4 linked regions of the Pelodiscus sinensis genome follow. The protein of the gene in region 1 purifies or fractionates together with the protein of each later gene. This does not show direct contact. Links are inferred from orthologs where the notes say so. Each region holds a gene or a part of one and is shown in the gene's direction. Other genes may lie near its edges.

Region 1 (7,713 bases):
TCTCACTTTGCCCCCTCCATGTGCTGACGCAGACCTGCCCCAGCTGTCATGCCCAGTAGCTTCTATGATGAGGTAACTGGTCTGTGGATATGGGAAAGTCAGTGGATGTGATATACCTTGACTTTAGCAAGGCTTTTGATACGGTCTCCCACAATATTCTTATCAGCAAGTTAAGGGAATATGGATTGGATAAATGGACGGTAAGATGGATAGAAAGCTGGCCAGACTGTCGGGCCCAATGAGGAGTGATCAACGGCTCGATGTCAGGTTAGTGGTCGATTTCTAGCAGAGTGCCCCAACGATCTGTTCTAGGACTGGCTTTGTTCAGCATAGAATCATAGAACCATAGAGCAGGAAGAGACCTCAGAAGGTCATGAAGTCCAGCCCCCTGCTTTAGCAGGACCAATCCCAACTAAATCAACCCGGCCAGGGCTTTGTCAAGCCGAGACTTAAACACCTCTAGGGATGGAGACTCCACTACTTCCCTAGGTAACCCATTCCAATGCTTCACTACCCTCCTAGTAAAATAGTTTTTCCTAATATCCAATCTGGACCTCTCCCACCACAACTTGAGACCATTGCTCCTTGTTCTGCCATCTGTCACTACTGAGAACAGCCTCTCTCCATCCTCTTTGGAACCTCCCTTCAGGAAGTTGAAGGCTGCTATCAAGTCCCCCCTCGCTCTTCGCTTCTGCAGACTAAACAGACCCAAGTCCCTCAGCCTCTCCTCATAAGTCATATGCTCCAGGCCCCTAATCATTTTGGTTGCCCTCCGCTGGACCCTCTCCAATGCTTCCGCATCCTTTTTGTAGTGGGGGGCCCAGAACTGGACACAATACTCCAGATGTGGCCTCACCAAAGCCGAATAAAGGGGTATAATGACATCTCTGGATCTGCTGGCAATGCTCCTCTTAATGCATCCTAATATGCCATTAGCCTTCTTGGCTACAAGGGCACACTGTTGACTCATATCTAGCTTCTCATCCACTGTAACCCCCAGGTCCTTTTCTGCAGAACTACTACTTAGCTGGTTGGTCCCCAGCCTGTAACAATGCTTGGGATTCTTCCGTCCCAAGTGCAGGACTCTACACTTGTCCTTGTTGAACCTCATCAGATTTCTTGTGGCCCAGTCCTCCAATTTGTCTAAGTCACTCTGGACCCTATCTCTGCCCTTAAGCGTATCTACCTCTCTCCCTAGCTTAGTGTCATCTGCAAACTTGCTGAGGGTGCAATCCATCCCCTCATCCAGGTCATTAATAAAGATATTGAACAAAACCGGTCCTAGAACCAAACCTTGGGGCACTCCACTAGAAACCGACCGCCATCCTGACATCGAACCGTTGATCAGTACCCGCTGGGCCCGGCCTTCTAGCCATCTTTCTATCCATCTTACCGTCCATTTACCCAATCCACATTCCCTTAACTTGCTGGCAAGAATAGCGTGGGAGACCGTATCAAAAGCCTTGCTAAAGTCAAGGTATATAACATCCACTGACTTTCCCATGTCCACTGAGCCAGTTACCTCATCATAGAAGCTAATCAGATTGGTCAGGCACGACTTGCCCTTTGTGAATCCATGCTGACTATTCCTGATCACTTTCCTCTCATCCAAGTGTCTCAAAATGGATTCCTTTAGGATCCCTTCCATGATTTTTCCAGGAACCGAGGTAAGACTGTAGAAACCGGCCTATAGTTCCCTGGATCGTCCTTCTTCCCTTTTTTGAAGATGGGCACTACATTTGCCTTTTTCCAATCATCCGGGATTTCTCTTGATCTCCACGACTTTTCAAAGATAATGGCCAAAGGCTCCTCAATGACATTTGCCAACTCCCTCAGTACCCTCGGGTGCATTAAGTCTGGACCCATGGATTTGTGTATGTTTAGCTTTTCTAAATAGTTCCTAACCTGTTCTTTACCCACCAAGGGCTGTCCATCTTCTTCTCGTCTTGTGTCACTTAGCACAGAAGTCCAGGAGCCGACCTTGTCCGTGAATACAGAGGCAAAGAAAGCATTGAGTACTTCAGCTTTCCCCACATCATCTGTCACTAGGTTACCTCCTTCATCCATTAGGGGCCGCACACCCTCTCTGATCACCTTCTTCTTGTTGACATGCCTGTAGAAACCTTTCTTGTATCCTTCACATCCTTAGCCAGTCGCAACTCCATTTGCGCTTTCGCATTCCTGATAACCCCCCGGCATTCTCGAACTATACATTTAAACCCCTCCCTGGTCATTTGTCCAAGTTTCCACTTTCTGTAAGCTTTCTTTTTGTGCTTAAGTTCACCAAGGATTTCCCCTGTAAGCCAATCCGGTCTCCTACCAGGTTTGCCTCTCTTGCTATGCGTCGGGATGGTTTCTTTCTGTGCCTTCAATAAGGCTTCTTTAAAATACTGCCAGCTGTCCTGGACTCCTTTCCCCTTCATGTTAACATCCCAGGGGATTCTTTCCATCAGATCTCTGAGGGAGTCAAAATCTGCTTTTTTGAAGTCCAAGGTGTGTATTTTACTACTCTCTTTTCTTCCTTTGGTCAGGATCCTGAAATCTACCATCTCATGATCACTGCTTCCCAGGGTGTCACCCACCTCTACGTCCCCTATTAGTTCCTCCCTGTTTGTGAGGAGAAGGTCAAGCTGTGCCCGGCCCCTGGTCGGATCCTTCAGCACTTGTACCAAGAAGTTATCCCCAACATTCTCCAAAAACTTCCTGGATTGCCTGTGTACTGCTGTATTGGTTTCCCAACAGATGTCAGGGTGATTAAAGGTAACCCATTCCAGTGCTTCACCACCCTCCTAGGGAAATAGTTTTTCCTAATATCCAACCTGGACCTCTCCCACCACAACTTGAGACCAATGCTCCTTGTTCTACCATCTGTCACTACTGAGAACAGCCTCTCTCCATCCTCTGGAACCTCTCTTCAGGAAGTTGAAGGCTGCTATCAAATCCCCCCCCACTCTTCACTTCTGCAGACTAAACAGACCCAACTCCCTCAGCCTCTCCTCATAAGTCATATGCTCCAGCCCCCTAATCATTTTGGTTGCCCTCCACTGGACCCTCTCCAATGCACCCACATCCTTTTTGTAGTGGGGGGCCCAGAACTGGACACAATACTCCAGGGCTGTGTCTAGACTGGCCAGTTTTTCCGGAAAATCAACCGCTTTTCCGGAAAAACTTGCCAGCTGTCTACACTGGCCGCTTGAATTTCCGCAAAAGCTGAAAAGGGGTCCTTCTTTCTTGCTCCTTCCTCTCTGCATTTCCTCCCGGTATCCGACTTTCCCACTCCCCTCAGGGTTTTGGTCACTGTCCTCCGACGAACCTAGTTTAAAGCCCTCCTCACTAGGTTTGCAAGCCTGCCCACGAAGATGCTCCTTCCTCTCTCCGTTAGGTGGATCCCATCTCTTCCTAACAATCCTTGTGCCCGGAACAGAGTCCCATGGTCAAAGAAACCAAAGCCCTCTCTGCGACACCACCTGCGCAACCACGCATTGACGTCCTCAATTCGACGATCCCTGCCCAGTCCTTTCCCTTCAACAGGGAGGATGGACGAGAACACCACTTGCGCTCCGAGTTCTTGGATCCTTCTTCCCAACATCTTTATTAATGACCTGGATGAAGGGATGGATTGCACCCTCAGCAAGTTCGCATATGACACTAAGCTAGGGGGAGAGGTAGATATGCTGGAGGGCAGGGTTAGGGTCCAGAGTGACCTGGACAGATTAGTAGATTGGGCCACAAGAAATCTGATGAGGTTCAACAAGGACAAGTGCAGAGTCCTGCACTTGGGATGGAAGATTCCCAAGCATAGTTACAAGCTGGGGATCAACTGGCTAAGTAGTAATTCTGCAGAAAAGGACCTGGGGATTACAGTGGATGAGAAGCTGGATATGAATCAACAGGGTGCCCTTGTAGCCAAGAAGGCTAATGGCATATTAGGGTGCATTAGGAGGAGCATTGCCAGCAGATCCAGAGATGTCATTATTCCCCTTTATTCAGCTCTGTTGAGTCAACATCTGGAGTATTGTGTCCAGTTCTGGGCCCCCCACTACAAAAAGGTCGTGGACACATTGAAGAGGGTCCAGGGGAGGGTGACCAAAATGATGAGGGGGCTGGAGCACATGACCTCTGAGGAGAGGCTGAGGGAGTTGGCCTTGTTTATCTGCAGGAGCGAAGAGCGAGGGGGGATTTGAGGGCAGCCGGCACGTTCCTGAAGGGGGGTTCCAGAGAGGCTGGTCTCAGGGGGGGCGGGTGGCAGGACAAGGGGCAATGGGCTCCAGTTGCAGGGGGGCAGGTCCCCAGGCGGTGGGAAGCGCTGGGCTGGGTGCCCTGGGGGGGCTCAGTCCCTGGAGGTGTGTGTCTCGCTGACACAGCCCTGGCCGGGATGATGGAGCCGGGCTGGTCCTGCCTTGGGCTCGCGGCCTCTGCCCGCCCCTGGCCAGTGCCTGCTAATAGGGGGAGGGGCGGCTCCATGCTCGCAGGGCTCTAGGCCCGGCTGGGGAGGGGGCGGAGCTAGCCCGCTCGGGGGCGGGGCTATGTGCGCTCTGCTGCTCCCATCCAGTCCATCGTCGCTGGGAGGCTCGCTCCGCCCCCTTCGCCAGGCTCCGCGAGACAGGCCCGGACCTCCATGGCGCAGGCGCAGTGCAAGCTGAGCTCCGCGCGCAGGGCGGGGCAAGGCGGGGTCTTCACCCCTTCCGGGCCCGTAACCATGGCGCCCAAGGGCCTGCCAGCCCGCAGCTGAGAGACAGCGAGTGCGCACGCGCCGCCCGGGGTGGGCCTTAGTGCCGGTAGCAGTGCGCGTGCGCAGTGGCGCGGCGGTGTTTTGCCCTGGTCAGCTGCGCTCCCGCCTGCCCCGTCCGGAGCCAGCGCCCAGCCCGGCTGCGCCATGTCCTACGGGCCGCTGGAGGCGGGCCGGCCCGCGGGCCCCCCGGCCCGGGACTTCGGCGCCATCGTCCAGACCTGCAGCGCCAACGTGCAGCGCATCGCCCAGTGCAGTGAGTGCGGCCCGGCGGGGGGGGCCCGGTTCGGCCCGGCGGGGGGGGCCCGGTTCGGCCCGGCGGGGGGGGCCCGGTTCGGCTCGGCGGGGGGATCCGGCAGGGGGGGCCGGGGAGGGACCTGGTTCGGTTCGGGGGGGGGGGTCCGGCGAGGGAGGCCCGGGGAGGGACCTGGTTCGGTTCGGGGGGGGGGGGGTCCGGCGAGGGAGGCCCGGGGAGGGACCTGGTTCGGTTCGGGGGGGGGTCCGGCGAGGGAGGCCCGGGGAGGGACCTGGTTCGGTTCGGGGGGGGGGGGTCCGGCGAGGGAGGCCCGGGGAGGGACCTGGTTCGGTTCGGGGGGGGGGGTCCGGCGAGGGAGGCCCGGGGAGGGACCTGGTTCGGTTCGGGGGGGGGGGTCCGGCGAGGGAGGCCCGGGGAGGGACCTGGTTCGGTTCGGGGGGGGGGTCCGGCGAGGGAGGCCCGGGGAGGGACCTGGTTCGGTTCGGGGGGGGGGGGTCCGGCGAGGGAGGCCCGGGGAGGGACCTGGTTCGGTTCGGGGGGGGGGGGGTCCGGCGAGGGAGGCCCGGGGAGGGACCTGGTTCGGTTCGGGGGGGGGGGTCCGGCGAGGGAGGCCCGGGGAGGGACCTGGTTCGGTTCGGGGGGGGGGGGGTCCGGCGAGGGAGGCCCGGGGAGGGACCTGGTTCGGTTCGGGGGGGGGGGGGGGGGTCCGGCGAGGGAGGCCCGGGGAGGGACCTGGTTCGGTTCGGGGGGGGGGTCCGGCGAGGGAGGCCCGGGGAGGGACCTGGTTCGGTTCGGGGGGGGGGGGTCCGGCGAGGGAGGCCCGGGGAGGGACCTGGTTCGGTTCGGGGGGGGGGTCCGGCGAGGGAGGCCCGGGGAGGGACCTGGTTCGGTTCGGGGGGGGGGTCCGGCGAGGGAGGCCCGGGGAGGGACCTGGTTCGGTTCGGGGGGGGGGGGTCCGGCGGGGGAGGCCCGGGGAGGGACCTGGTTCGGTTCGGGGGGGGGGTCCGGCGAGGGAGGCCCGGGGAGGGACCTGGTTCGGTTCGGGGGGGGGGTCCGGCGAGGGAGGCCCGGGGAGGGACCTGGTTCGGTTCGGGGGGGGGGGGGCCGGCGAGGGAGGCCCGGGGAGGGACCTGGTTTGGTTCGGGGGGGGGGGTCCGGCGAGGGAGGCCCGGGGAGGGACCTGGTTCGGTTCGGGGGGGGGTCCGGCGGGGGGCCCGGGGAGGGACCTGGTTCGGGGGGGGGGGGGGTCCGGCGAGGGAGGCCCGGGGAGGGACCTGGTTCGGTTCGGGGGGGGGTCCGGGGGGGGAGGCCCGGGGAGGGACCTGGTTCGGTTTGGGGGGGGGTCCGGCGGGGGGCCCGGGGAGGGACCTGGTTCGGTTCGGGGGGGGGCCGGCCCGCCCGCCTATCGCCCATTTGCCTCCCGGAGCCGGCCCAGCCGCCCGCCTCCCCTATGTCCGGGCTGGGCCCCCGGGAGCGGCCCCCCAAGCCCTGGCCGTGCTGTCAGCCCCACGGCGGCTCCCAGGCACCCCCTGTACCTCGAGCGCTTTGTCAATAGCCACAGCTGGTCACCCCTGCAGCCCGTGGTGGCCTCTGCTTAAGGCCTGTTAGTCCGCCCCGACTCTTCCAAGGGACGGTTCCCTGCAAGCTCTCTTCCTCTCATAGATGTGCAATAAAGCAGTTTCCATTGCGGGAGAGAAATAAGCATCTCAGATCTTCTCCTGTGAAGCCCTTTGCTTCTTGTGAAAAATCACAGTTCCCTCTAGCAAACTAGATGGCAAGTTTGTAGCCTGATCTTGATTATAACCATAGTACCCAGACAACCAGATCAGGATTTAGCCAGGAAGTGCTGTAAACTTTGTGTTCCCACAGCCTAGGGAGTGGACTACTCGCATTTCTGCCCCCCACCCTTTGCTGCCTCTGTATCAGAGGTAGTAGTGGGGAGAAGCCGGTTTAAAAGCTGGTTTTCCCCCCAGCACTCTCTCCACAGTGCTGCCCATCCTGCCCTTTGCAGTGGGGAGGGGCGGCTGCTGCTGCTGCTGCAAAGCAACCCCTGTCAGCAGGTCAGTCCTGGCCACGGACCTGGTGTAGGACCAAACCCCAAGGCAGCTCTGCAATTTAAAAGGCAGTAGGAGCCGGGGGGGGGGGGGGCAGGCTGCCTGGCTCCTACTGCCTTTTAAATTGCAGAGCCACAGTGAGGTTTGGTCCTGCACCTGCCAGGAGTCAGGACTGAGCAGGCTGCCTATCAACTAATCAAGTAGCTGATAGAATTTTTATCGACTACTCAATTAGTTCAATACCCGCCTCTTAACATCCCTAGTACAATGCGATCTCTGCATAGAAGCACTTACAAGCTCAAGTTTACCTTGAATAAGGGTTTGGAGGCCTGGACTCTTTACATGTATACTGATGGTGCGATTCAGGTGATATGGGAATGAACTGAACTCAGGAAGCACAAGACAAAATTAGAATGATTTTTTTTTAATTTTTTGTTTTCTTCCCCCTCCTGTTCCCCAGTATTGTCACTTTGCTTTGTCTTCTCATGGCCAGTTGGATGAAACCGAATATAATCCTCCTACTTCTATGCTCTTACACCATTTCACCTGATCTGTGTCAACACAGCAGCACATGAGGCATAGAACTAGCACAAATCTTTCTCAAAATAGTCAAGGCATGTTTTATCAAAGGCCTTTATAAAATAAAGGGGCACCAGCAACTTAGAAGTCACGCT
Region 2 (6,944 bases), on another chromosome or scaffold:
GTGGACGTTTTTTTGCGCAAGAGTTCTTGCACAAGAAGCCGCGAGTGTAGACATAGCCACGCTGTTTTTATTTACAGGACTCTCCTGTTCCTGGGGCTGCAAGGCAAGCATTGCCTGACAGGTGCAGGGAAGGCACAAGCCCTTTCAATAGAAGCATTTAAAAGGGCTGGCAGCTCCCCCAGCTTCTAACATGTTGCTAGGGAGCCAGAGACGCGAGCTCTTTCAACTGCTTCTATTTAAAGGGCTTGTTTGCTGGGTGGCTGCATTGCCTCGCAGCCACCCGACAGGCACAAGCCCGTTAAACAGAAGCAACTGAAAAGAGCTCACAGCTCTGCCCCACTGATCGAGCTGCCCAAAGGCGCGAGCCCTTTCAACTGCTTCTATTCAAAGGGCTTGTGCATGCCGGGCAGCTGCCAGGCAACAGGTTAGAAGTGGGGGGCAGGAGCTGTAAGAAATCTAAGCCTCCACCCCAGACAACTCTGGGAGGAGGCTAACCCCTGGCACCCTCCCCTCTGCTCCAGGTCCCGTCCATTGGCCAGAAGTTAGGGGGGTAGGAACCCCAGGGCAAGCAAAGTTCCCAGTAGGGTAGCTCTCAATACCACCTCTTCCGCCCCAGGTCCCACAGCATCATCTTGCCCAGGAGCACAGCAGAAAAAATATGGTTTGGGCTGGTTAATGGTTTTAGTTAATGAGTGTCTTTTAATGAATTAAAAAAGCACATACACATACCATTCATTTCACTACATAAATATTCTAATTGAAAAAAAAAAGATCATTTGTGTCCTGAAGTGCTCCTATGTTTCAAGGCGTTTCAAAAACATAGTTAATCACTGAAAATTGTAGCTGCTTCCTTCAAGAAGTAGCTTTAAATGCCCAATAACCTATCTCATTACAACTGGTTTTGATAAAAATATCTAGATGCCATTTTTATAGTCAAGTGTGGGAATCTTTTTGTAACTCATGAAACTGAATATCCTTAATGTGGGTGGGAGGAAAAACAGGGACACTGATACTATTTCATGGAATCATAGGTCTGGAAAGGGCCTCAAAGTCCTTTAGTTTAGTTCCCTGCACTCATGGCAGGACTAAGTATTAATTTTCAGTGCCCTATGTTTAGTATTAGTGTTGTTATTATAAATGTTACAAGTTTTCTCAAAATGTTAAGAGTTATTATTACAAATTTTACAAGTGTTGCCTTCTATGATAATCTTTGGATAATGTTGTATGCAGTTAAGTATTATTAAAATTGAATTACTTTGTTGTGTAAAAACCATAGTGGCATTTTTTTACAGCACATGGCCCGCCCCTTCTGCCCAAGGCCCCGCCCCTTCCAGGTTGGCTCATGGACACTTCTGAAATTTGTGACGTGGCCTCCCTTAAAAAATTATTGCCCACCCATGATCTAGATCATCGCTGATAGATATCTATCTAGCCTGCTTTTTAAAATCTCCAATGATAGAGATTCGACAACCTCCATAGGCAATTTATTCCAGTGTTTCACCACCCTGACAATTAGGCAGATTTTCATATTAAATGGCATATTAAAAACTTAATTCACTTACCAAAATGCTGCAGTAGGTAATCAAAGTTAGGTTTCCCATCCTGAGTCACCCAATTCCTCCTGCTGCCCCAGCCCTCAGTGAATTTAGCTGAGAAAACACAGGGGTGGTTGGGAATCAGATAGTCCCTGAAAAAATCGGAGTAACTGAACGATTCTACCTTTTCAATATAGTCAACATGTCCTTGGGGCAGGCTGACTGCTACATGAGATGCACTGCTGTAGTCATGAAAGAACGCAGTGGAACAGGCAAATGCTGCTCTGTCCATTCAGATTATATAACTTTCCTGGTACTTGGTCGAGAAGATGTGATCAGACAATATATTAAGTTAGGTTAAAATAAATAGCTGTACATTAATCTGAGTGGATCTTTCAAATGTATAAAAATTAACTCACAGTTAAAAAAAATCCAATTCCAAAATACAGATAAAATCTTGCAGGAAAAGCTTTGTTCTTTTGTGTTTCAACATGCAGGGTTAGAAATGTCCTTTAATGTTGCTTCAATTGTTTATGGCCACCTTGATCGAATGGCTACATTACAAACAAATCACAGTAACCAAAGCCTATATTCCTTGTAGATCTCTTTCATGTCAGTGGCAGATAGTCTAGTTACGTGTCCATATTAAATTATTTCCATGCTTTCGCTTAGCATTCTCCGTGGGTCGCAGAAGAGAACAGCCACTTGCCTGTTTCTAGAAATAAACAGCAGACATGTTCATTTCAGTGGGGTCTCTCTCCAGCTCGGGGAACAAAAAGAAAAGCTTCTATTGCAAGCAAAAAATAAAACGTGTCCTGTTCTAAGATTGCCAGATGCGACAGAAAACATTAAGCAGGATAGTTTGAAAAGGTCAGGTCCTTCAGGGATCGAGCTGAGCTCCTGCATTCATGTCATATACTCTGCACTGCTTGGGATGCTGCATACAGACAGGCAGCTCCCAATCATTAAAAAATAATGAGGTGGTTGAGTGGTAACAAGGACTGATAGCAGCCATGCCTGGGGGAGGAGAGGAAAGTGAAGGAAGAGACGTTCCTGGAACCCCAAACTCCTCTTAACCCCAGCAGAGGGAAACCCAAGAGCCTGAAATGTATCCCTGGAGTCCTCCACGAGACTCCAGCTGACAAGAAGGGAGGGTCCCCAGGAAAGGAGGGGGACCCGGAGTCCCGTCTCAGGAGCGTGGGAGGGGGCCGGGCTCCCCACTATGGGCATGGGATGGGGGGGGCTCCCGCCATGGGGGGATGAGGGGACCCGAGAGGGGGAGGGTCTGGGATCGCAGGGAGGCAGAGTGAGGGGCCCCATGGGGGGCAGGATTCCTGCTGGGGGGGTGCGAAGGTTCTGGGGTGGGGGGGCAGGGTTCCTGCTGGGGGTGTGTGAAGGTTCTGGGGTGGGGGGGCAGGGTTCCCGCTGGGGGGGGTGAAGGTTCTGGGGTGGGGGGGCAGGGTTCCCGCTGGGGGGGGTGAAGGTTCTGGGGTGGGGGGGCAGGGTTCCCGCTGGGGGGGTGAAGGCTCTGGGGTGGGGGGGCAGGGTTCCGGCTGGGGGGGGTGAAGGCTCTGGGGTGGGGGGGCAGGGTTCCCGCTGGGGGGGTGAAGGCTCTGGGGTGGGGGGGGCAGGGTTCCCGCTGGGGGGGGGTGAAGGCTCTGGGGTGGGGGGGCAGGGTTCTGGCTGGGGGGGGTGAAGGCTCTGGGGTGGGGAGGGCAGGGTTCCCGCTGGGGGGGGTGAAGGTTCTGGGGTGGGGGGGGCAGGGTTCCCGCTGGGGGGGGGTGAAGGCTCTGGGGTGGGGGGGCAGGGTTCCCGCTGGGGGGGGGTGAAGGCTCTGGGGTGGGGGGGCAAGGTTCCCGCTGGGGGGGTGAAGGCTCTGGGGTGGGGGGGCAGGGTTCCCGCTGGGGGGGTGAAGGCTCTGGGGTGGGGGGGCAGGGTTCCCACTGGGGGGGGTGAAGGCTCTGGGGTGGGGGGGCAGGGTTCCGGCTGGGGGGGGGTGAAGGCTCTGGGGTGGGGGGGCAAGGTTCCCGCTGGGGGGGTGAAGGCTCTGGGGTGGGGGGGGCAGGGTTCCCGCTGGGGGGGTGAAGGCTCTGGGGTGGGGGGGCAGGGTTCCCACTGGGGGGGGTGAAGGCTCTGGGGTGGGGGGGCAGGGTTCCGGCTGGGGGGGGCGGGGATGTGACGCTCCAGCTCGGGGGGGGGGGGGGAGGGGCCCCAGGACGGGACGGGGTCGCCACGCCAACCGGTCACGCACCCTGGGCTCGCCGCCACCCGGACGCATTATGGCGCCGCACCCGGCGCGTGACCCTGGCTCGCGGGGAAAGCGACCGGAAGTGTGTGGGGGATGGGGCGGAGACGGGCTCGGGGCACCTGCTCTGCGCCTGCGCCTGCGCCGGGCGAGCTGTCTCGGGGAGGCCGGAACCCTGAGCGCGGCGTCGCACGTTCCCGGGGGGAGAGACGTTGGGGGAGAACAAAGGGAGGGCGGCTCCGCCAATGGGAGAGCGCGGCGGGCGCAGGCGCGGAAGGCTCAAGCGGGGTAGCTGGCGCCGAGCGTCCCAGCACCTTCCCCTGGGGGAGGTGAGTCATTCCCGGCCGGTGGGGGGAGGGGCGAGCGCCCGCGTCCTCGCTGGGGCCACGGGGAGGGGCCCTTCGTGTGGGGGGGGACCCCAGGGCGGGGGGAGGGGCACATTGTGTGTGGGGCGCCGAATTAGGAGGGGGGGGCGAGGTGTGGGGCACCCCTGGGTGGGGGGAGGGGTGGCGGAGTGTGGGGGTTCCCTAGGCGGGAGGGGTGATGTGTTGGGCACCCCCAGGCAGGGGAGGGGTGGCGGAGTGTGGGGTTCCCTAGGTGGGGTTCGAGGGGTGGGGGGAGGGGTGGCGGAGTGTGGGGTTCCCTAGGTGGGGGGGCGAGGTGGAGGGCACCCCTAGGTGGGGGGAGGGGTGGCGGAGTGTGGGGGTTCTCTAGGTGGGGGGGGCAAGGTGTGGGGCATCCTAGGTGGTGGGGTGTGGTGGCGGAGTGTGGGGGTTCTCTAGGTGGGGGGGGCAAGGTGTGGGGCATCCAAGGTGGTGGGGTGTGGTCGAGTGTGGGGGGACCCCTGGGTGGGCGGCGGGGGCTGCTGCAGAGGCAGGACGCTGCCGTGAAGGCCCCCTGGGGTACTGCTGACTTGAGGTGTCGGTGTCAAGCATTTCAGACTAGCTCATCCATCCGTGATACAAACTTGGGCAGAAATATCAAACCTCAGTGAAGCCAGAAACAAATTTGCGGTTCCAAGAATGGGCTAAAATAGGAGCCAGTGACTAAAGATCAGTCATCTTTGGAAATGCTGATACCTTTGTTTCCAGGGGTGAGGGGGATAATTCCCCAGAAAGGAGAAGAGTGGGATGCTGTCATGGTGGAGATGGGATGGGGAAGGCACACTGAAAGAGGATGATAAACTATTCAGGCATTAACAGTGTGATGTAACCGCATGTGTAGAAGCATGATGCCACAGATGGGAAAATTAGTCACACTTGTTATTTACATAATGCTTTTCAGGCAGTGATCTCAGTGCATTTTACAAATGAGGGCAAAAGCTCCGTCACCTCAGCAGAAACTGAATCAGAGAAAGATTAAGGCAGTGGTCACCAACCAGTAGATCTTGGAGCCTGACAGGTGATCCTGACTGGTCTGGCCAAGAGGCTATCAAGTGCTGGCATTTCAGTTGCCTCTCCCCCTATTGCTGTACACCTCCTGCCCTTTGCCTTAGACCTGCTTCCCTCTCCCCCCCCCCCCCCCAGTCTCCTGCTTGCAGTACAGAGCAGGAGAGGGAGGGGAGAGGGTGCTGATGTCAGGGTGCCCCCCTCCCACCCTGTAGTCTGTCTCCACAGAACGGAGGTTGGGGTGGGGGGGGAGACAACAGGGCTTAGGGTGGAGGGAGTTTGCTGGGGGGTGAGCCTGCCTTAGCCCCATTGCACCACCACCCAGGAACCACCTGAGGTAAGCAGTGTCCAACTGGAGCCAGCTCTGAATCCCTGCCCCAGTCATGAACTCCCTCTGCCCCAGCCCTGAGCCCCCCAAATCCTAACTCCCTCCCAAAACCTGCACCCCAACTCCCTGCCCCAAGCTCAGTTCAGAGCCCCTTTCACACTCCAAATCCATTAGCTCAAGACCAGAACCTGTGCCCCAACCTTCTGCCCCTGCTTAGTGAAAGGGAGGGAAGATGGGGAAGGGAGGGAGGACAGAGCAGTGGCGGGGTCTCAGAGAAGGGACATGAAGGAGGTGCGGTACGGGTATTTTAGTCTGAGGTAGCTCTTATATTGCACTTAAATTAAAAAAAATTGTGCTTAAAAAGGTTGGAGACCAGTGGCTTAAGGCATATGCCTAATAAGGATATTAAGTATTGGGTAATTGACTAATTGAATAGTTGATGCGTTTTTGCTTATCGGATAGTGGACTAGTCTCATAGACTCATAGACTTTAAGGTCAGAAGGGACCATTATGATCATCTAGTCTGACCCCCTGCACAGTGCAGGCCACAGAATCTCGCCCACCCCTCTTAGAATAATCCTCTCACCTATGTCTCAGATATTGAAGCCTTCCAATACTTTGAAGGCCCCAACATGCAGAGAGTCCTTCAGCTGTGATCTGTGCCCAATGCTACAGAGGAAGGCGAAAAACCTCCAGGGCCTCTGCCAATCTACCCTGGAGGAAAATTCCTTCCTGACCCCAAATATGGCGATCAGCTAAACCCTGAGCATGTGGGCAAGACTCACCAGCCAGACACCCAGAAAGTTCCCTATAGCAACTCCTATCATCCCTCCATTGACCTATTTCCAACTGGAAATGAATGGTCAATTAGTTACCAAGATCATGTTATTTCATCCAACCATCCCCTTATCATAGAATCAGAACTGGAAGAGACCTCAGAAGGTCGTCAAGTCCAGCCCTCCACTCTAGGCAGGACCAATCCCATCTAAATCAACCCGGCCAGGGCTTTGTCAAGCCGAGACTTAAACACCTCTAGGGATGGAGACTCCACTACTTCCCTAGGTAACCCATTCCAATGCTTCACTACCCTCCTAGTAAAATAGTTTTTCCTAATATCCAATCTGGACCTCTCCCACCACAACTTGAGACCATTGCTCCTTGTTCTGCCATCTGTCACTACTGAGAACAGCCTCTCTCCATCCTCTTTGGAACCTCCCTTCAGGAAGTTGAAGGCTGCTATCAAGTCCCCCCTCACTCTTTGCTTCTGCAGACTAAACAGACCCAAGTCCCTCAGCCTCTCCTCGTAGGTCATATGCTCCAGACCCCTAATCATTTTGGTTGCCCTCCGCTGGACCCTCTCCAATGCGTCCGCATCCTTTTTGTAGTGGGGGGCCCAGAACTGGACACAGTACTCCAGATGTGGCCTCACCAAAGCCGAATAAAGGGGG
Region 3 (7,700 bases), on another chromosome or scaffold:
CCAGCGTGATGCAATGGCTGGTCATATGAGCTGTGTCAGAACTTGTCAGACTGGTTGGAAGTGGGGGGGGGGGGGGGGGGGGTCGTCTCAGAGCTTTTCCTCGGATAAAGAATAAAGGCGGGGGGGGGGGGGTGAAGCACTTTCGAGAAAAGCGTGAACCCCTGAGGAAGGAAACGGGCCTCCCACGACCCCCCCCCGGGCTGGCGAAACCCGCCTGGATCCAGGAGCTCTGGCCTGGAGTATTTCTCGGCTCCGGCTCGGGTTGAAACCCGCCAGCTCGCCCCTCCCCTCCGGCTGCCCCCAGGACCCAGAGCAAGAAGCAGGCCCACGTCTCAAGTTACCGAAGCCCAGCCCGGCCCCCCCAGAGCGCGGGGCGGCAAATAGCACCAGTCAGCCCAAGGCTCGCCCTCCCGGCAGGCCCCCAGTCCCCCCGCACACAAAGCGGAGGCGGCGGCGTCTCTCGCCCCGCTGCGGCCCGGCCCTTTGTCTCGCCTCCCCCCGGTCCCAGCCGGGTGGGGAGGGCAGCGGGCGGGGGAGGGGAGGGGAGAGTCCGATCTTTCTTCCGCCGTCCTCCAGCCTCCTCCTCGCGTGTCTCTCCCGGCCGGCTCCTCGCCCCCTCCTCCTCCAGGGAGAGGGGCTGCGCCCCCCAGCTCCCGCCAGGAGCCGGGCGCGCCGCGGGGCAGCTTCCCGCAGCCACGAGTCCCCCCAAGCGGCGGGGCAGCGGTTTCAAAAGGCCACCACGGCTCGCACCAGGATGTTCAGTACCGCGCCGTCCCCCGGCCGGCAGCCCGGCGTGGGGGGATCGGGGCCCTTGGCCGGGCCGCTCCGCAGTCTGCCGGCGAACTGGTGCTGCAGGACCTTGGCCAGGCTGGGGAAGGGGCCGTCCTGGCCCTGGGGCTGCCGCTCGCCCTCCGCCTCCTCCTCCAGCCGCGCCTTCTTGCTGGGCGCCAGCCCGGCCTCGGCCGCCCCCGGCTTGTCCAGGCTGCTGCTCCGCCGCTTCCTGCTGCCTTTGCCCGCGCCGGGCAACGAGACGCCCCGCGCCGGCCGCTTCCCCGGGGAGGCGGGCGCCAGGGCCGGCTCCCCGCCGCTCTCCTGCGTCTCCATGGGCTCCGTCGCGCCGGGGGCGGCGGCACAGTCCGCGGGGGCCGCCCGCTCCTCCGGCGGGGGTTGGCCGGGGTCGGCCGACTGCTCCGGCGTGCAGGGCGCCTCGCCTCCTGCCTCCGCCTCCTCCAGCTTGGCCGAGAGGTAGAGCTCCCGGGCGCTGCGCATGACGAGCGACAGCTGCAGGCTGCGGTGCAGGCGGAGGCCGCCGCGCTGCAGGCGGGAGTGGTAGAGCTTCCACACCGACATGGTCATGATGCGCTGCGCCTCCTTCTGCGCCTCCATGCCGCGCGCAGGATCGGGCCCTGCCGGAGCTGGGGGGAGGGGCTGCGCCCGGGTCTGCCCACCCCCGCGCCCACCGGGCGAAGCTGCTGCTGCTGCTGCTGCTGCTGCGGCGCCGCCGCCTTCGCTCGCGACTCTCCGCTCCTCCGCCTCCGACCAGCCGCCCGGACTAAGCCCAGCCGCGCCCCGCTCCGCGGCTTTTATACCCCTGCTGATCTCAGCGCCCGGGCCGCCCCCGCCCACTCCCTCAGCCGCATCCGGCCGGTGCAACGCGCCGCCACCCCCAGCCGCCGTGGGGGGAGGGGCGGAAATGCCAGGGCGTGGGGGAGGGGGAGGAAGCCGAAGGGACCCTGCCGGGCAGCCGCTGGCCAAAGCAACCAGGCAGCCGGAGCGCGGGGGGAGGGGGGAGGGACATCCCCAAACTTTGCGCTTCATTGTGCGCGTCCAGCGTGGAGCCCGGGGCTGGTTTGCACGCGCAGCGCCGCGGCCGGAGGGAGCCCCCCCCCCGACGCCAAATGGCCGGGCAGGGCAATCGATGCAGCGGCTCGTGCCCCCTGCGGGTGGGGGCGCGCCCCCGCCTCCAGTGCAGCGCCTCGTGCACGCGCAATGCGACCCACCCCGGCAGCCCCGGGGCCACCCGCGTGGGCAGGGCCGCGCGGCCGGGTCTGCGGGCAATGCCCTGAAATGCGCACGAGGCCAAGCTCTTCGGCGCAACGCAAGCAAGGCGAGCAACGTTGTTGTGTCTGTTACAAGGAGCGAGACCGGCTCTCTGTTTACTGCAGCCTGCCAAATAAATCTCTCCCTGCGTCCAACGCAGCCACACAGCCGCAATAAAACCGCCCTGCGCGGTGGCTGGAATGCAGCTCCAAGGCAAAGGCAAACCCCGTTGTGTGTGTGTAGATAAACAGCGCAATCTGTGTTTAAATCCACGGACTGGAGCAACCGCCCCATTGGCGTGGTGGCTGCAAAACGTGTGTCTGCACAAGGCTCTCTAGCATCTGGTTTCATGCAAATAAACAAACCTTACTACAGCGGATCCCAAATCGGAGCCAGAACTCTTTGTGAATGAAACCGTACTCCTGTGGCGTGCGCCCGATGCGAGCTGCCGTACGGCTCGGCTCGTTACACCCCGCTCCGACTGGCAGACTGCGTGGAGGCCGGCACAGCCCCGCCAACATCGGCTGCGTGTGTGAAACCCGGGGGGGCGAAGCGGTCTGTCCGCAGCTGGATCCCACCCCGGAGGTGGCCCCGTCCAGGCCAGGGCGCGTTAAGCTTCCTGCAGCTGGGGGGGGGGGCATTTTCTGGGTTGTTACAAGTCACCCCCTGGGCACCCCCCGTGGCAATGCAATGGAGCCCAGCTCCTCCGCTGAGGGCCATGTTCTCCCCGAGGCCAACAGTGACACCTTCCCAGCCCGCATGCTTTGCATGGATGCACCGCAACGGGCCTTGCAAGACACCTCCCCTGGCCGGGGGTCAGTGCGGGGGCGGGGGGGGGGGCTTCAGCTAGTTAAAGTTAAGCCCCCGGGCCCCGCCACCCAGAGGATACTCGCTCAGCCAACAGGCCCTTTCCCCCCGCGGGCTCTTTAAGAGGAAGGAAGAAGAGGCGGAGGCTCCGCCCCACTGTTGAGGTCACCCCAGCCTTCCCTGGTTACCGTTTCCATGACTATATTTGGGGCCCATGACGACAGGGGGCGGGCCGCGAATGCGGCGCGCACCAACGTTCCAACCCGGGTTGCGATTGTAGCGCCGCTCGCTTCCTCTTTCCGTATAAGGGCAAGGGCTGGAAGGCCCCATTGCGGGCTATGGGGAGCCTCCTTCCGGGATCCTACCAGGAAAAACCCATCTGCCCGCGCTGCAAATCCCTCCCCCGCAGCCTGCCTCCGCGCACCGCACGTGGGATGCGCCCATCCCCCAGCCAGGCGCCCCAGCAACCCGCCGCTTGCCTGTTACCCCAATCTCCCCCCAGCCAGACCCCGCCTGCCTGTCCCCTCAATCTCTAACTGCCCCTCCTGCCCCTCACCCCCACAACCCCCAATCTCCGCCCAGCCAGTCTCCGCCTGTCTGCCCCCTCTAACTCTCCCCAACTCCCCCTCCTGCCCCTCACCCCCACAGCTCCCTGTGTCCCCCCAGCCAGACCCCACCTGCCTGTCCCCTCAATCTCTAACAACTCCCCCTCCTGCCTCTCACACCCCCAGTCCTTGATCTCCCCCCAGCCACTGCCTGATTGTACCCTCAATCTCTCCCTAAAAACTCCCCTACCTGCCTCTCACCCCCCCGTCTCCAATCGCATCCCAGCCAGCCAGCCAGCCCCCACCTATCAGTCACCCCCAGTCTCCCTCAGTCACCCCTACCTCCCTGTCACCCCCAGCCCTCCCCCATTTACCACCTGTCATCCTAACACCCACACAAACTCTCCACCACCTATCACCCTAAGTACATGACAACCCCTTCAGTCTGACTTGACACAACCAATCCCTTCCCCACATACAACACATCCACCCACAACATCCCCCCGACCCAAGAAGACACAACCTGACTACACACATCCCCATACAGCCCATTTCTCCCACCCACTCACAACTCCCCAACACTACCTAACTTACTCACCATCTGGCTCTACACTTCCACCCCTAACCTCCCCTAACACATCTCCGAGAACTCTCCCCACAACTTGACCAAATACCTGACTGCACACATACCACGTGCGACTCTTCCCACAAGCTACCTATACACCTCACAGGATGCCTGTCCATACCCTCCCCCCAATCTGATTACCAGCATATCACCCCATGCCCCCCCATTGCCTCACCACTCTGCCTGTACACAATCTAGCTGTACACAGCTCACACACATGCCACAAGTCCCCCCACACTCTGACAGGCAACCCCCCTCCTCACAGCAACCCTTGTGGCTCCCCTCAACAAATCGCGCATCCCACAACCTCAGGGCACGCAGCCCCCTCCCCGCTATTGCTCCCAGCCTGCTAGTCTCAAGCGCTGCCTGTCACCCCTCAAAGGCCGGGATCCTGGAGCCGCCTGGGGGCCGGGCTCCCATGGCGTCTGCAGCCAAGAGTCCCGGGAAATCCGGGGGGGGGGGGGCACCAGCAGGGACTAGTCCCACTGGCTGGGCTGGAATGAAATGAACATGGGGGAGAGGAGTCAGACCTCCTGGGTTCAGTGCTCAGCTCTTGGGGGGGGGGGGGGAGCGTAATGGTTGGGGGCGGGGCCGGACGGACTCCTAGGTTCTAGCCCTTGTTGTGGGGGCAGGGAGTGGAGCCTAGTGGCTAGAGTGGGGGAGGGGGAAGTCAGGACTCCTGGGTTCCAGTGCCAGCCCCCCGGCTGGGGTAAGTGGGGGGCCCGGACTCCTGGCTTCAATTTCTCTGCGCGGAGCGGGTCGGGGCCGGGAATTAGGGATCAGCGCAGCCCCCGCCCCGCGGAGGCTGAGAAGGGGGGAGCCGCCACCTCCCCCCCAAGTCCGGGCAGGCCCGCCCCGCCCTCAGCAAAGGCGGCGGCCGCAGCTTCGGGAGGGCAGGGCCAGCGCCGGTCACATGGCGGGGCGCGGCGGGGAGCGGAGCCGGAGCAGGAGCGGGGCCGGGGCAGCATGGCCCTGGAGGACCCGTTCGCTGCCGTGCGGGGGTGAGTTGGCCGCGGCCCGCGCAGGATCGTGCCCCTAGAATATGGGCGGGGAAGCCTCCCCCCCCGGGGAAATCCCCCCCGGGAAACCCCCCCGCCCTCGTGCCCCCCCCCCCGTCCTGGAGAAACCTCCCCGTCCCGCCCTCTCTCCCCCCCCCCGTCCCGCCCCTAAACAGACCCTGCCCCGTCCCGTCTCTCCGCCCCCCGGAAGAAACCTCCTCCCGTCTCCCGCGCCGCTGGACAACCCCCTCCCACCGGCCGCCCCACTTCCTCGCGCCTGGAGAACTCCCCTCCCCCCTCCCCCGCAGAGACCCTTCTCCTATCCCCGTGCCCCACCAGGATCCTCCCCACCCACCCTGTGCAGGAGAGACCCCCTTCCCAGTCCTCGCTGGGAGGGTGCCAGGGCTGCTGGGGGGTCCTGCCTAGTGCGAGATGCAGCCACCTCTGGGGTGGGGACTGAAGAGTAGCGGGGCAAGACCTGGCAGCACCAGGCCACCTTCCTGGGGATCCCTGCCCTGCTCCTCGCTCGCCCCCTCCTCAGCCCCCCTCTCTTTGCCCCCAGGGAAGTGCAGAAGGCTGTGAACACGGCCCAGGGGCTCTACCAGCGCTGGTGCGAGCTGCTGCAGGAGACCCATGTCGTCAGCTCCGAGGAGTTCGACTGGACCACCAACGAGCTGCGCAACAACCTGCGCAGCATCCAGTGGGACCTGGAGGATCTGGAGGAGACCATTGATATCCTTCTGGGGACCAGTTCCCCCGCAGGAGCGCCCCAGTGCCAGCGCCCCGCCCCGCTCCTCGCAGCACCCCCTGCAGCCAGCGCCCTGCCCCGTTCCTCGCAGCACCCCATGCTGGCAGAGTCCGGGAGCACCCCCTGCAGCCAGCGCCCTGCCCCGCTCCTCGCAGCACCCCATGCTGGCAGAGTCTGGGAGCACCCCCTGCAGCCAGCTCCCTGCCCCGCTCCTCGCAGCACCCCCTGCCGCCAGCGCCCTGCCCCGCTCCTCACAGCACCCCATGCTGGCAGAGTCCGGGAGCACCCCCTGCAGCCAGCACCCTGCCCTGCTCCTCGCAGCACCCCATGCTGACAGAGTCTGGGAGCACCCCCTGCAGCCAGCACCCTGCCCCACTCCTCGCAGCACCCCCTGCAGCCAGCTCCCTGCCCTGCTCCTCGCAGCACCCCATGCTGACAGAGTCTGGGAGCACCCCCTGCAGCCACCACCCTGCCCCGCTCCTCGCAGCACCCCATGCTGACAGAGTCCGGGAGCACCCCCTGCAGCCAGCGCCCTGCCCCGCTCCTCGCAGCACCCCCTGCAGCCACCACCCTGCCCCGCTCCTCGCAGCACCCCATGCTGACAGAGTCTGGGAGCACCCCCTGCAGCCACCACCCTGCCCCGCTCCTCGCAGCACCCCATGCTGACAGAGTCCGGGAGCACCCCCTGCAGCCAGCGCCCTGCCCCGCTCCTCGCAGCACCCCATGCCGACAGAGTCCGGGAGCACCCCCTGCAGCCAGCGCCCTGCCCTGTTCCTCTCAGCACCCTCTGCAGCCAGCACCCCATGCTGACAGAGTCTGGGAGCACTCCTCGCAGCCAGCGCCCTGCCCCACTCCTCTCAGCACTCTGCCCTGATCTTTGCAGCACCCCCTGCAGGCAGAGTCTGGAAGCCCCCCTGCAGTCAGCACCCTGCTCAGCTCCTTGCAGCGCCCCCCTCCTGGCAGAGTCCGGGAGCATCCCCAGCCCCAGCACCCTTCCCGGCGCCTTGCAGCCTCCCCTGCAGCCAGCGCTTTGTCCCTACACCCCATGGCAGCCCCTGCTGGGACAGGCCATGGGAATGAAGGGAAATCCAGAGAGCTGTTTCATGTCTGTGGGCTGCTTGGGAACCCCCCCTGCACACACACACCGGCTCCTCTCCAGTGCTCCCCCCTCCCACCCTGGATCTGCACTTGGTCCTTAACGCCGGCGCACGCATTGTGGAGTCAAACCCTCGCAAGTTCAGGATCGAAGCCAGCGAGCTGACGGAGAGACGGGCATTCGTGAGGCAGATGCGGGACTCAGTTAAGGTGGGGGACCCCCCCCCGCCTTGCACCCCCTCTTCCCTTTGTGTTTGAGTCACAGGGCTGCCCCCTACTGGAGGAATGAAGACCTCTTCTGAGAGCGTGAGGTTCTACTCCCCTCTAGTGGGGCACACCAGCTAATGCAGTAGAGGGACCCCAATAGCTCAGAGGAGGAGAAACTGAGTCAGGGCCATGATTTGCAGCAGGTTGTTCTGAAATGTGTGTGTTGGAGAGAGCAGTGGGCTAGGAGTCAGGGCTCCTGCATTCTGTCCTTGGCTCTGAGATGGGTGGGGGGCCTAGTGGTTAAGGCAGGGGAAACCCAGGTCACTTGGGCTCTGTTCCTGCTCTTGCTGGCTGACTGTGGGGAAGTCCCTGTATGTGAGGCTGACAGAAAGGGGGACCCCCATCGAAATGCTCTGAGTTGCTCTCCCAAACCTCTGTGCTTCCCCCCTGCACCCACCAAAAGTCCTCTGACCTCAGATCAAGCTTGTGTTTTAACCATTTCCTTCCCTCCCTCGCAGGAGATGCAGGATCACGTATCCAGCCCGTCAGCCCTGGCCTTCGCCCAGCGGAAGAGCAGAGAGGTATCTGGTCCCATCCTCGCGGAGCAGGACCGGCCCTGTAGAAAGTCCCGTAAT
Region 4 (7,843 bases), on another chromosome or scaffold:
TTTGGAAGGGGGGGGAATTTCCCCCCACTTTGGAAAAGCCAGTCGAAAACGTGAAAGCTTGTCATGGGAAGGAATTTAAAGAAAAACTCCGTTTCGGGAGAACTGACACAAAATGTGTCCGGCTTCCTGGTGCCCTCACTTGGGACGTCTCATCCTAGCTACTGGAGAATCAGCGGGAGAAATGCTCAGTGCCCGAGAGCTGGACGGGGGAAGGAAAGGCAACCCGCCCTCTGTTTGGGTGACAGTGGCAGATCTGGGGCACTATTTCGTTTCACCGGGTTTGCTAGCCTCTGCCGACAAGCCCACGTTCAGCTGGAAAACCCCTAAGCCTCTCTTCTGAACACCCAGCAACTGCCGTGGAAACAAACAGGAGTGGTTAGGAGCCAGCATAGGTGAAAATCAGAGCCTTTTTATACCTAACCAGGGGCTTACGAGCAGAACTGTAGAGTCCTGCGGCGAAACGCTGCCCCCGCTGCCGTCGATGGGAGAGAAACGCCTTTTCGGAGGAGCTCCACTCACCGATGAAGATGGCGAAGTGATGGTCACGGGAGGCGTTCACGGAGGGGCTGTCCACCACGTGCAGCGTGTAGCGAGGCTTCCCGGTGTCCGCGTCGCACAGATCCAGGGAGACGTCGCCCGCACCGGGGGCTTTGTCCAGCTGGCTGCGCAGCAGCGCGTACATCTGCCTCTCCTTTACCGCCTCCACCAGCCGCTCCGCGCTCTCCACCCGCACGGGCTTGTCCAGCTCCTCCGTGCAGATCTCCAGGATCGGCTGCACCAAACCAGGGAGCTTCTTGCACTTGGTCATGACGTAGAGGAAAACGGGCAGCACGAACTGCTGCTGGGCCTCTCTGTCCTCGCTGCCCGCCAGCTGGTGAATGCGCACCACCCACCCCTCCTGGGAGAAGTAGCCCACCGCTTTCTTCACCACGTGGGCCTGGGCCAAGGAGACGCACAGGTAGCGGCCCCCAACCTGCAGCACCCGGCTAATCTCAGCGAACATCCTGTCCACCCTTTCGAGAGTGGCCTCCTCTTCGTCGACCAGGATGGCATCCAGGGTGCCCTTGTCCAGCACCACCTGGAAGCGGGCGTCCGGGAAGTCCATCTGCAGCATGTCCATCACCAGGAAGCTCATCTTCGGCCTCCTGTCGGCGTTGCGCTCCCTCATCTGCTTGATCACCACCTCGCTGATGTCCACGTTCACGATGTCCTGGTAGCCGACGTCATACATCTGCTCGCTCAGCTCGGAGTTGCCGCAACCCACCACGAGCACCTGGGACATGCAAAGAGAGGGTAGCTTCCCTGGGGGTCCCAACCCGCCTCACACACCATGGAGACGAGCAAACACCCGTGGGGAACGGATGCCGGGGGGGGGGGGCCTTGGGGGAGAGGAGGATCGGGGGGGGGGACATTGGGGGAGAGAGGGGGAAGGGATCCCGGGGGGGCTGCTGGGAGAAGGGAAGGGATGCTGAGGGGGCATTGGGGGAGGGAGAATCCGGGAGGGCACTGGGGGGAGGGGAAGGGGGATCCCGCTGGAGGGAAGGGAAGGGATCTCAGGGGGAAGGAGCGGTTGCAGGATCCCGGAGGAGGCGCTGGGAGGGGAGGGGGATCCCAGGGGGTATCCGGGGGGGGCGCTGGGAGGGGAGGGGGATCCCGGGGGGGGGCGCTGGGAAGGAAAGGGATGCCAGGGGGGGCGCTGGGGGAGGGAGATCCCGGGGGAGGGATCCGGGGGGGCGCTGGGGGAGGGGAGGGGGATCCCGGGGGAGGGATCCGGGAGGGCGCTGGGGGAGGGGAGGGGGATCCCGGGGGAGGGATCCGGGGGGGCGCTGGGGGAGGGGAGGGGGATCCCGGGGGAGGGATCCGGGGGGGGCGCTGGGGGAGGGGAGGGGGATCCCGGGGGGGCGCTGGGGGAGGGGAGGGGGATCCCGGGGGGGCGCGAGGGGAGGGGGATCCCGGGGGGGCGCTGGGGGAGGGGAGGGGGATCCCGGGGGGGCGCTGGGGGAGGGGAGGGGGATCCGGGGGGGGGCTGGGGGAGGGGAGGGGGATCCCGGGGGGCGCTGGGGGAGGGGAGGGGGATCCCGGGGGGGATCCCGGGGGGGCGCTGGGGGAGGGGAGGGGGATCCCGGGGGGGTCCGGGGGGGCGCTGGGGGAGAGGAGGGGGATCCGGGGGGGCGCTGGGGGAGGGGAGGGGGATCCCGGGGGGGCGCTGGGGGAGGGGAGGGGGATCCCGGGGGGGCGCTGGGGGAGGGGAGGGGGATCCCGGGGGGGATCCCGGGGGGGCGCTGGGGGAGGGGAGGGGGATCCCGGGGGGCGCTGGGGGAGGGGAGGGGGATCCCGGGGGGGTCCGGGGGGGCGCTGGGGGAGGGGAGGGGGATCCCGGGGGGGGCGCTGGGGGAGGGGAGGGGGATCCCGGGGGAGGGATCCGGGGGGGGCGCTGGGGGAGGGGAGGGGGATCCCGGGGGGGGCGCTGGGGGAGGGGAGGGGGATCCCGGGGGGGCGCTGGGGGAGGGGAGGGGGATCCCGGGGGGGGTCCGGGGGGGCGCTGGGGGAGGGGAGGGGGATCCCGGGGGGGCGCAGGGGGGGCCGGGGTCTCACCGTGTCGCGGGGGCGCGCGTAGCGGCGCAGGGCGGGGCGGAGCTGCGCGTACCCGCCGTACCACTCGAAGGCGCGCGCGCCGCGCTGGCGGAAGAAGCGCTCCCAGTAGCCGGCCGAGCCGAACTCGCGCGCGCTGCGGGGCAGCAGCGCCATGGCAGGGGGCGGGGCCTCTCCCCACGTGCGCCCGCGCCGCGCCGCGCGACCCTGGGACGTTGCGACGCTACGTCCGCGTCCGGAGCCCGCCCATTGCGGGGCGGGCGGGGCTCGGAGGCGGGGGCGGGGCCCCGGGGCGGGGCTGGGAGGCTGTGACATGAATCCATGGGCTGCAGAACCAAAGCCTCCCCAGGGGGCAGTGGCTACAGCTTCGCGCCTGCCCGAGCCTGCAGGCAGGGGGCGTGGCCATTCTCCGCTCAGCTGGGTGTTGACTCTGGACCCTAATGACATCGGGACAGGCAGCGACCAGAGGAGGCAGGAACTGCACACAAGTAGCAGCCCAGAAGAGGAAGCTGCATACCAAATGTGGTGGTCCTAGCCCTTACCATTTAGGAAGAGTTCTTGAACAAACAGACTCACAATTGGACAGACAGATGCACATTTTTAAAATACATAAGTACATTTGAACCATCCCTTAGACCACACCAGTGCAACTGCCCAAAATGTCAGTTGGGAAGAGAGAGAGCCAAATCCGAATCAGCATAGCTTGATTGATAAATTCACACCAGGTAAGGATCAGACCCATTCACACATTCAGACTAGCCAAATGTTCAACTGCTGTTTACTGAAAACAGGAGGAAAGGAGGGAAGGTTATAATGATATTGGCATAAACAGACACCCAGCATACACTGATTGGAAAGAAGCTCATATATTTAACAAAATAACAGATGGAGAATTATTAATGCCATCAAATGCCTTTGCAAGAAAACAAACAAAACAACAACAAAAACGTACGGTAGCTATATGTTAGGCTTGTTTCCTGCTTGTATAAAAACAACCCAGCTAATCAGAATCTCAAAAGAGTATTTTCCAAAAGCAGATTTACAATAGTGACAGCAGTTAGAGGCAGATCAGTTGTGGAAGGTTGTAAGTATGCGCAAAACATCCTGCTTTTCTGCACGGTTGCAACTGGTTCCGCAAACGGCAGCATTTTAAAAGCCACCCTCTGAGTCAGGAAGCCCCAGATTGGATCTTCCTTTTGGCAAGTATCGTTGTGCAGAGTTTGTGGATTTGCCGTAGGTGTGTGTGCTTTCGCTCCAAAGAGGGACTGCTTCCATCTCCTTTTTCTAAACACAGGGGCTACGTCTACACTGGCCCCTTTTCCGAAAGGGGCATGCTAATTTTACAGGTCGTAATAGGGAAATCCGCGGGGGATTTAAATATCCCCCGCGGCATTTAAATAAAAATATCCGCCGCTTTTTTCCGGCTTTTAGAAAAGCCGGAAAAGAGCGTCTACACTGGCCCCGATCCTCCGGAAAAAAGCCCTTTTCCGGAGGATCTCTTATTCCTACTTTGAAGGAATGAAGGCTGGAGAAAAGGCCCTGTAGGGGGTCTTAGAGTTCAATATGTTCTGTTCTTCTCCAAAGTAAGATTGAGAAGTGAATTGATCAGGATTTTTACACACAGAAAATGCAGGTGCCCACCGTGGAACAGTTGATCGTGGTGGAGAGATGGGGAGGTGCTGATCGGCAGAGCTACAGGCGGGCGGGAGGCATTTGGGTGCGGAAGAGGTCCGGGGGGTGGCTGGTTCGCGCCCCCCCCCCCCCCCGCCTTTCTGGAAGATGTAGGTGAGTCAGACACAAGCTAGTAGGTGCAGGTGGGTGAAAATCTGCGGCCTGCAGTATAGACTAGAATGATCCAACCATCGCTTCTGGCCTTAACATCTTTGGGGTCTAGTCACGCGGGTTGGGGGCTCGCTGATACACGTCTGAACGCCAGCGCTTCGAAGGCAAGCGCCTAATTCCCCTTGGCTTCAATGGCAGCAAGCGCCTAATTCCCCTTGGCTTCAATGGCAGTCACGCACCTAAGTGCCTTGTAGGATCTGGGCCGGGGGCATTTCCTCCCTCCCGCACTGGGACTGAACAATCGCTGTGCGTGCGGGGGGGTGCAGAGCCCCCCCCCCCGTGCTGCACCCCCGCGTGGACACGGGCCGGGACCGCGACAGCCCCGAGCGCCGCGCCGCTGCCCACGTGGGCTCCCAGCTGGCAGCGAGCCTCAGCCCCGCCCCCTCGCGCGAGTGGGCTCGAGACACGCGCGCGCCCCCCAGGGGCCAGCCCGCCGAGCGCCGGGCAGGAATCGATGGCTCGGCGCTCGGCCCGGATCGCCGAGCGCTCGATGGAGCAGCTGACTCGCAGCTGGGCCCCTCCGCGCAGCCCGGCCATTTCCCAGCCGCGGAGCGGTGAGCGGGGCCGGCAGGGGGGTTATCGGGAGGGGGCTCCGGGGGGGCAGGGCCTGGGGGCCCTTGGGGAGGGGGCTCTGTGGGGGGCAGGGCCTGGGGGCCCTTGGGGAGGGGGCTCTGTGGGGGGCAGGGCCTGGGGGCCCTGGGGGAGGGGGCTCTGTAGGGGGGGAGGGGGCCCTTGGGGAGGGGGCTCTGTGGGGGGCAGGGCCTGGGGGCCCTGGGGGAGGGGGCTCTGTGGGGGGCAGGGCCTGGGGGCCCTTGGGGAGGGGGCTCTGTGGGGGGCAGGGCCTGGGGGCCCTGGGGGAGGGGGCTCTGTGGGGGGCAGGGCCTGGGGGCCCTGGGGGAGGGGGCTCTGTAGGGGGGGAGGGGGCCCTTGGGGAGGGGGCTCTGTGGGGGGAATGGGGTGGGAATTGGGGGGGTCCTTGGAGGCCGTTCTGTGGAGAGGCTTTGGGGGTTCTGTGGGTGAAGGGCTTTGGGGGCTCCCAGCTACGTGTGCTTGCAGAGCTCTTGCCCCCTCTGCTGTTGTCTGGTGGCCCCGTGTAGACTCATGCTGCACGTGAGCTCGTCTCAGGGTCCCCTCTCCTCCCAAGCGCTGGGTTTTAGAGGGGAGTGGGGTTCGGGGGCTTCACGGGGGAGGGGTCCCAGGAGAGACCCATCGGGGAAAGCAGTTCCCTAGCACTGGGGTATCTCTCACTTCCTCCAGCCTGTGCTCATTGCCAGGGCTTCTCCTCTACCGGCCACATGATCCCTCCGATAACCCCCAGCCCAGCCCCTCGTATTCGCTGTGGTCCCTGCTTCCGGCCCAGCCAGCTGGGTGACACCCGCCCCCCCCCCACTCCTTGCCCAGGACCATTGTACCCCCCTACCCCCATCAGCTGCCTGGGTGACTTCTCCAGATTCTCTAACTTGTGCCTCTTTTGCTCCTGGCTTCGGTTGTGTCTGGACTGTTGCTCTTAACCTGTAGCGACACTCTCATCCTTCAGCACATGGGGACAGGCCCTGCCCTGCTGCGGGCTGTCTGGCTGTTTAGGGGAGCAGACAGTGCTCGCTGTGCTGGGACATTGGCTAAATTTCCTGCATTTCTGGTATTGTCACAGCCTACGGCTCTCCCTGCAATTTTCCATGTGCCCGCTCCGGGGTGGCAGGTTCCCCGGGATTGCAACGTTTCATCTCCACTGACTCCTGCAGCCGAGGAGAGTGGTGATGTTCAAACCCGCAAAGCCGTATCCAGGGTACTTGGGGTAGAAAGCCGCTTAGGATAGAACTGGGTGGCTCGGGGAGCCAGATTCTTTACCTCCTGGGTCACTGGGACACGGAGCCAGACGAGGTCAGCCCTGCAAGTGATCACTATGAAGTGGGGTGCAGTTCCTTGCTGACAGATATTTACCCAGCCCAGCTCTCCACCACCCTCGGCATCTGTGGGTCACTCCCAAAGACGCCAAGGGCAGGGGCCGTCTGTCTGGCTCAGGTGGAACGGAACACGTTGGCGGAGGAACGCTGGAGAACTTTGCATGCTGCCGTGCCTACATGAGATGGGCCTGTTCTGTAGAGAAGCAGGGTTTAACTCTTCCAACTGGGCCCCTCGTTGGCACTGACCGTAGCAAAGGGGGCAAGGTGGAAGAGAGAGAGCAGACCGCGCTTGGCCAAAATCCTGTGGGGGCTCGTCAGGTTTTATTGCTTTTCTTTCCTGGTTTAGTAACCTGTGGCTTTTTGATAAAATTGGTCGCTTTGGGGTTTTAGACCAAAGGGCTTGATAAGGGTTGTGGATCGGTTCTCCGCTGTGCTCAGAGCTGTACAAAAATGCAGAAAAACACAGTCCCAGCCCCAGTGAACTTAAACGCTTTGGCCTTGGCCCTCCGGAAACTCACATGTGGCCTGCACAGTCACATGCGTAAAGATAAGCAGGTACCGTCACGTCTCTTCAGGGTCAAAGTTTCTGAAACTAGACGGAACGACGTGATCTGTCCCTTGGGGTCCCTGAAAGCCTGGCATTGCTGGGCCGGTGGGTTGATTTTTCATTCTCTTTCCTGTGGCATTTGTCAATGGATTCTGTTTCACTGGGCTGAGTTTTAGGGAGACCGCGGCGATCGGACAGAGAATTGATCTCAGCACAATGGGCTCTGAGATGTTTTCTTCCCTCTCCCTTCTACGCAGCCTCTTCTTCCGCCACCCCCCGGTACAGACAGTCCAGGCCAGTTCTGTGAATAGGAAAGATGCCTCCAAAATTCAAGCGCCACCTAAACGACGACGAGGTGACCGGCTCGGTGAAAAGCGAAAGGGTGAGTGCCTGGCAACTCAGGGTCTCGTTTGCATTCGTTGGCACCCCGCCCCCTTAATTAGCAGGGGTGTGTTTACTCACACTGTGCTCTGAGATCCCTGGCTGGCACACACAGCTCCGTTGCCGGGGGCTTTGGGACCATCGGAACGGGGAGGGATTGCTGAAAGCGGACCTCAGACGAACGACATCTACCGTGATACAAGCCAAGTGGGGCACTCAGCATGTGAGCGCAGAAAGCCAGATGGGAGGACATGTTGAATCCTTCTGGCTGGCCGCGCTCAGTGCTGACTGCTTAGGATGCCTCGCTTGGTGTCTTCTCAGTTGTTGAACAACTTCTTCAGAGGGTGGAGCCAGCTGGGGGTTGTGCCTGCTAAATAATCCCTGTTTTGTAATTGGGCTGTGTGTCTGGGAGGAGACATCGGCGTTTTGCGTACACTGAGCGCTTGGGCGGCCGCCCAGGAGAGATGCAAATACTGCCCATTGATCCATAGCTGGGACCAAGTGTTTCTTGGTGGTGCGCACCTGCGCATGCCTTGGCGCACAGAACAAAATTTATTCCACACACAAATAGTCACAA

Evidence for each region.
Region 2: the proteins of STX12 (region 1) and SNAP47 purify together in Homo sapiens (co-immunoprecipitation; 3 studies listed by BioGRID and IntAct, counting the BioPlex papers as one, with this or other methods). This does not show direct contact. The link is inferred for Pelodiscus sinensis from reciprocal best matches to the Homo sapiens genes STX12 and SNAP47.
Region 3: the proteins of STX12 (region 1) and STX10 purify together in Homo sapiens (affinity purification with mass spectrometry; 3 studies listed by BioGRID and IntAct, counting the BioPlex papers as one, with this or other methods). This does not show direct contact. The link is inferred for Pelodiscus sinensis from reciprocal best matches to the Homo sapiens genes STX12 and STX10.
Region 4: the proteins of STX12 (region 1) and VAMP4 purify together in Homo sapiens (affinity purification with mass spectrometry; 3 studies listed by BioGRID and IntAct, counting the BioPlex papers as one, with this or other methods). This does not show direct contact. The link is inferred for Pelodiscus sinensis from reciprocal best matches to the Homo sapiens genes STX12 and VAMP4.

Annotation. Positions count from the first base shown.
Region 1 is NC_134735.1:22,766,025-22,773,737, forward strand, and holds the start of STX12 (syntaxin-12), read left to right. Parts: upstream 1-4,704; 5' UTR 4,705-4,876; coding exon 4,877-4,985; intron 4,986-7,713. UniProt on the Homo sapiens protein: SNARE promoting fusion of transport vesicles with target membranes. Together with SNARE STX6, promotes movement of vesicles from endosomes to the cell membrane, and may therefore function in the endocytic recycling pathway.
Region 2 is NC_134712.1:254,224,646-254,231,589, reverse strand, and holds the start of SNAP47 (synaptosomal-associated protein 47), read left to right. Parts: upstream 1-3,943; 5' UTR 3,944-4,109; intron 4,110-4,662; exon of another isoform or gene 4,663-5,181; intron 5,182-6,944. Other genes in the region: 2-oxoglutarate and iron-dependent oxygenase JMJD4, read right to left, coding at 1,563-1,827. UniProt on the Homo sapiens protein: Plays a role in intracellular membrane fusion.
Region 3 is NC_134729.1:13,735,773-13,743,472, reverse strand, and holds the start of STX10 (syntaxin-10), read left to right. Parts: upstream 1-4,689; 5' UTR 4,690-4,983; coding exon 4,984-5,018; intron 5,019-5,577; coding exon 5,578-5,747; intron 5,748-6,973; coding exon 6,974-7,068; intron 7,069-7,583; coding exon 7,584-7,646; intron 7,647-7,700. Other genes in the region: IER2 (immediate early response gene 2 protein), read right to left, coding at 727-1,386. UniProt on the Homo sapiens protein: SNARE involved in vesicular transport from the late endosomes to the trans-Golgi network.
Region 4 is NC_134719.1:64,088,851-64,096,693, reverse strand, and holds the start of VAMP4 (vesicle-associated membrane protein 4), read left to right. Parts: upstream 1-4,835; 5' UTR 4,836-4,988; intron 4,989-7,142; 5' UTR 7,143-7,201; coding exon 7,202-7,267; intron 7,268-7,843. Other genes in the region: METTL13 (eEF1A lysine and N-terminal methyltransferase), read right to left, coding at 520-1,273, 2,596-2,748. UniProt on the Homo sapiens protein: Involved in the pathway that functions to remove an inhibitor (probably synaptotagmin-4) of calcium-triggered exocytosis during the maturation of secretory granules.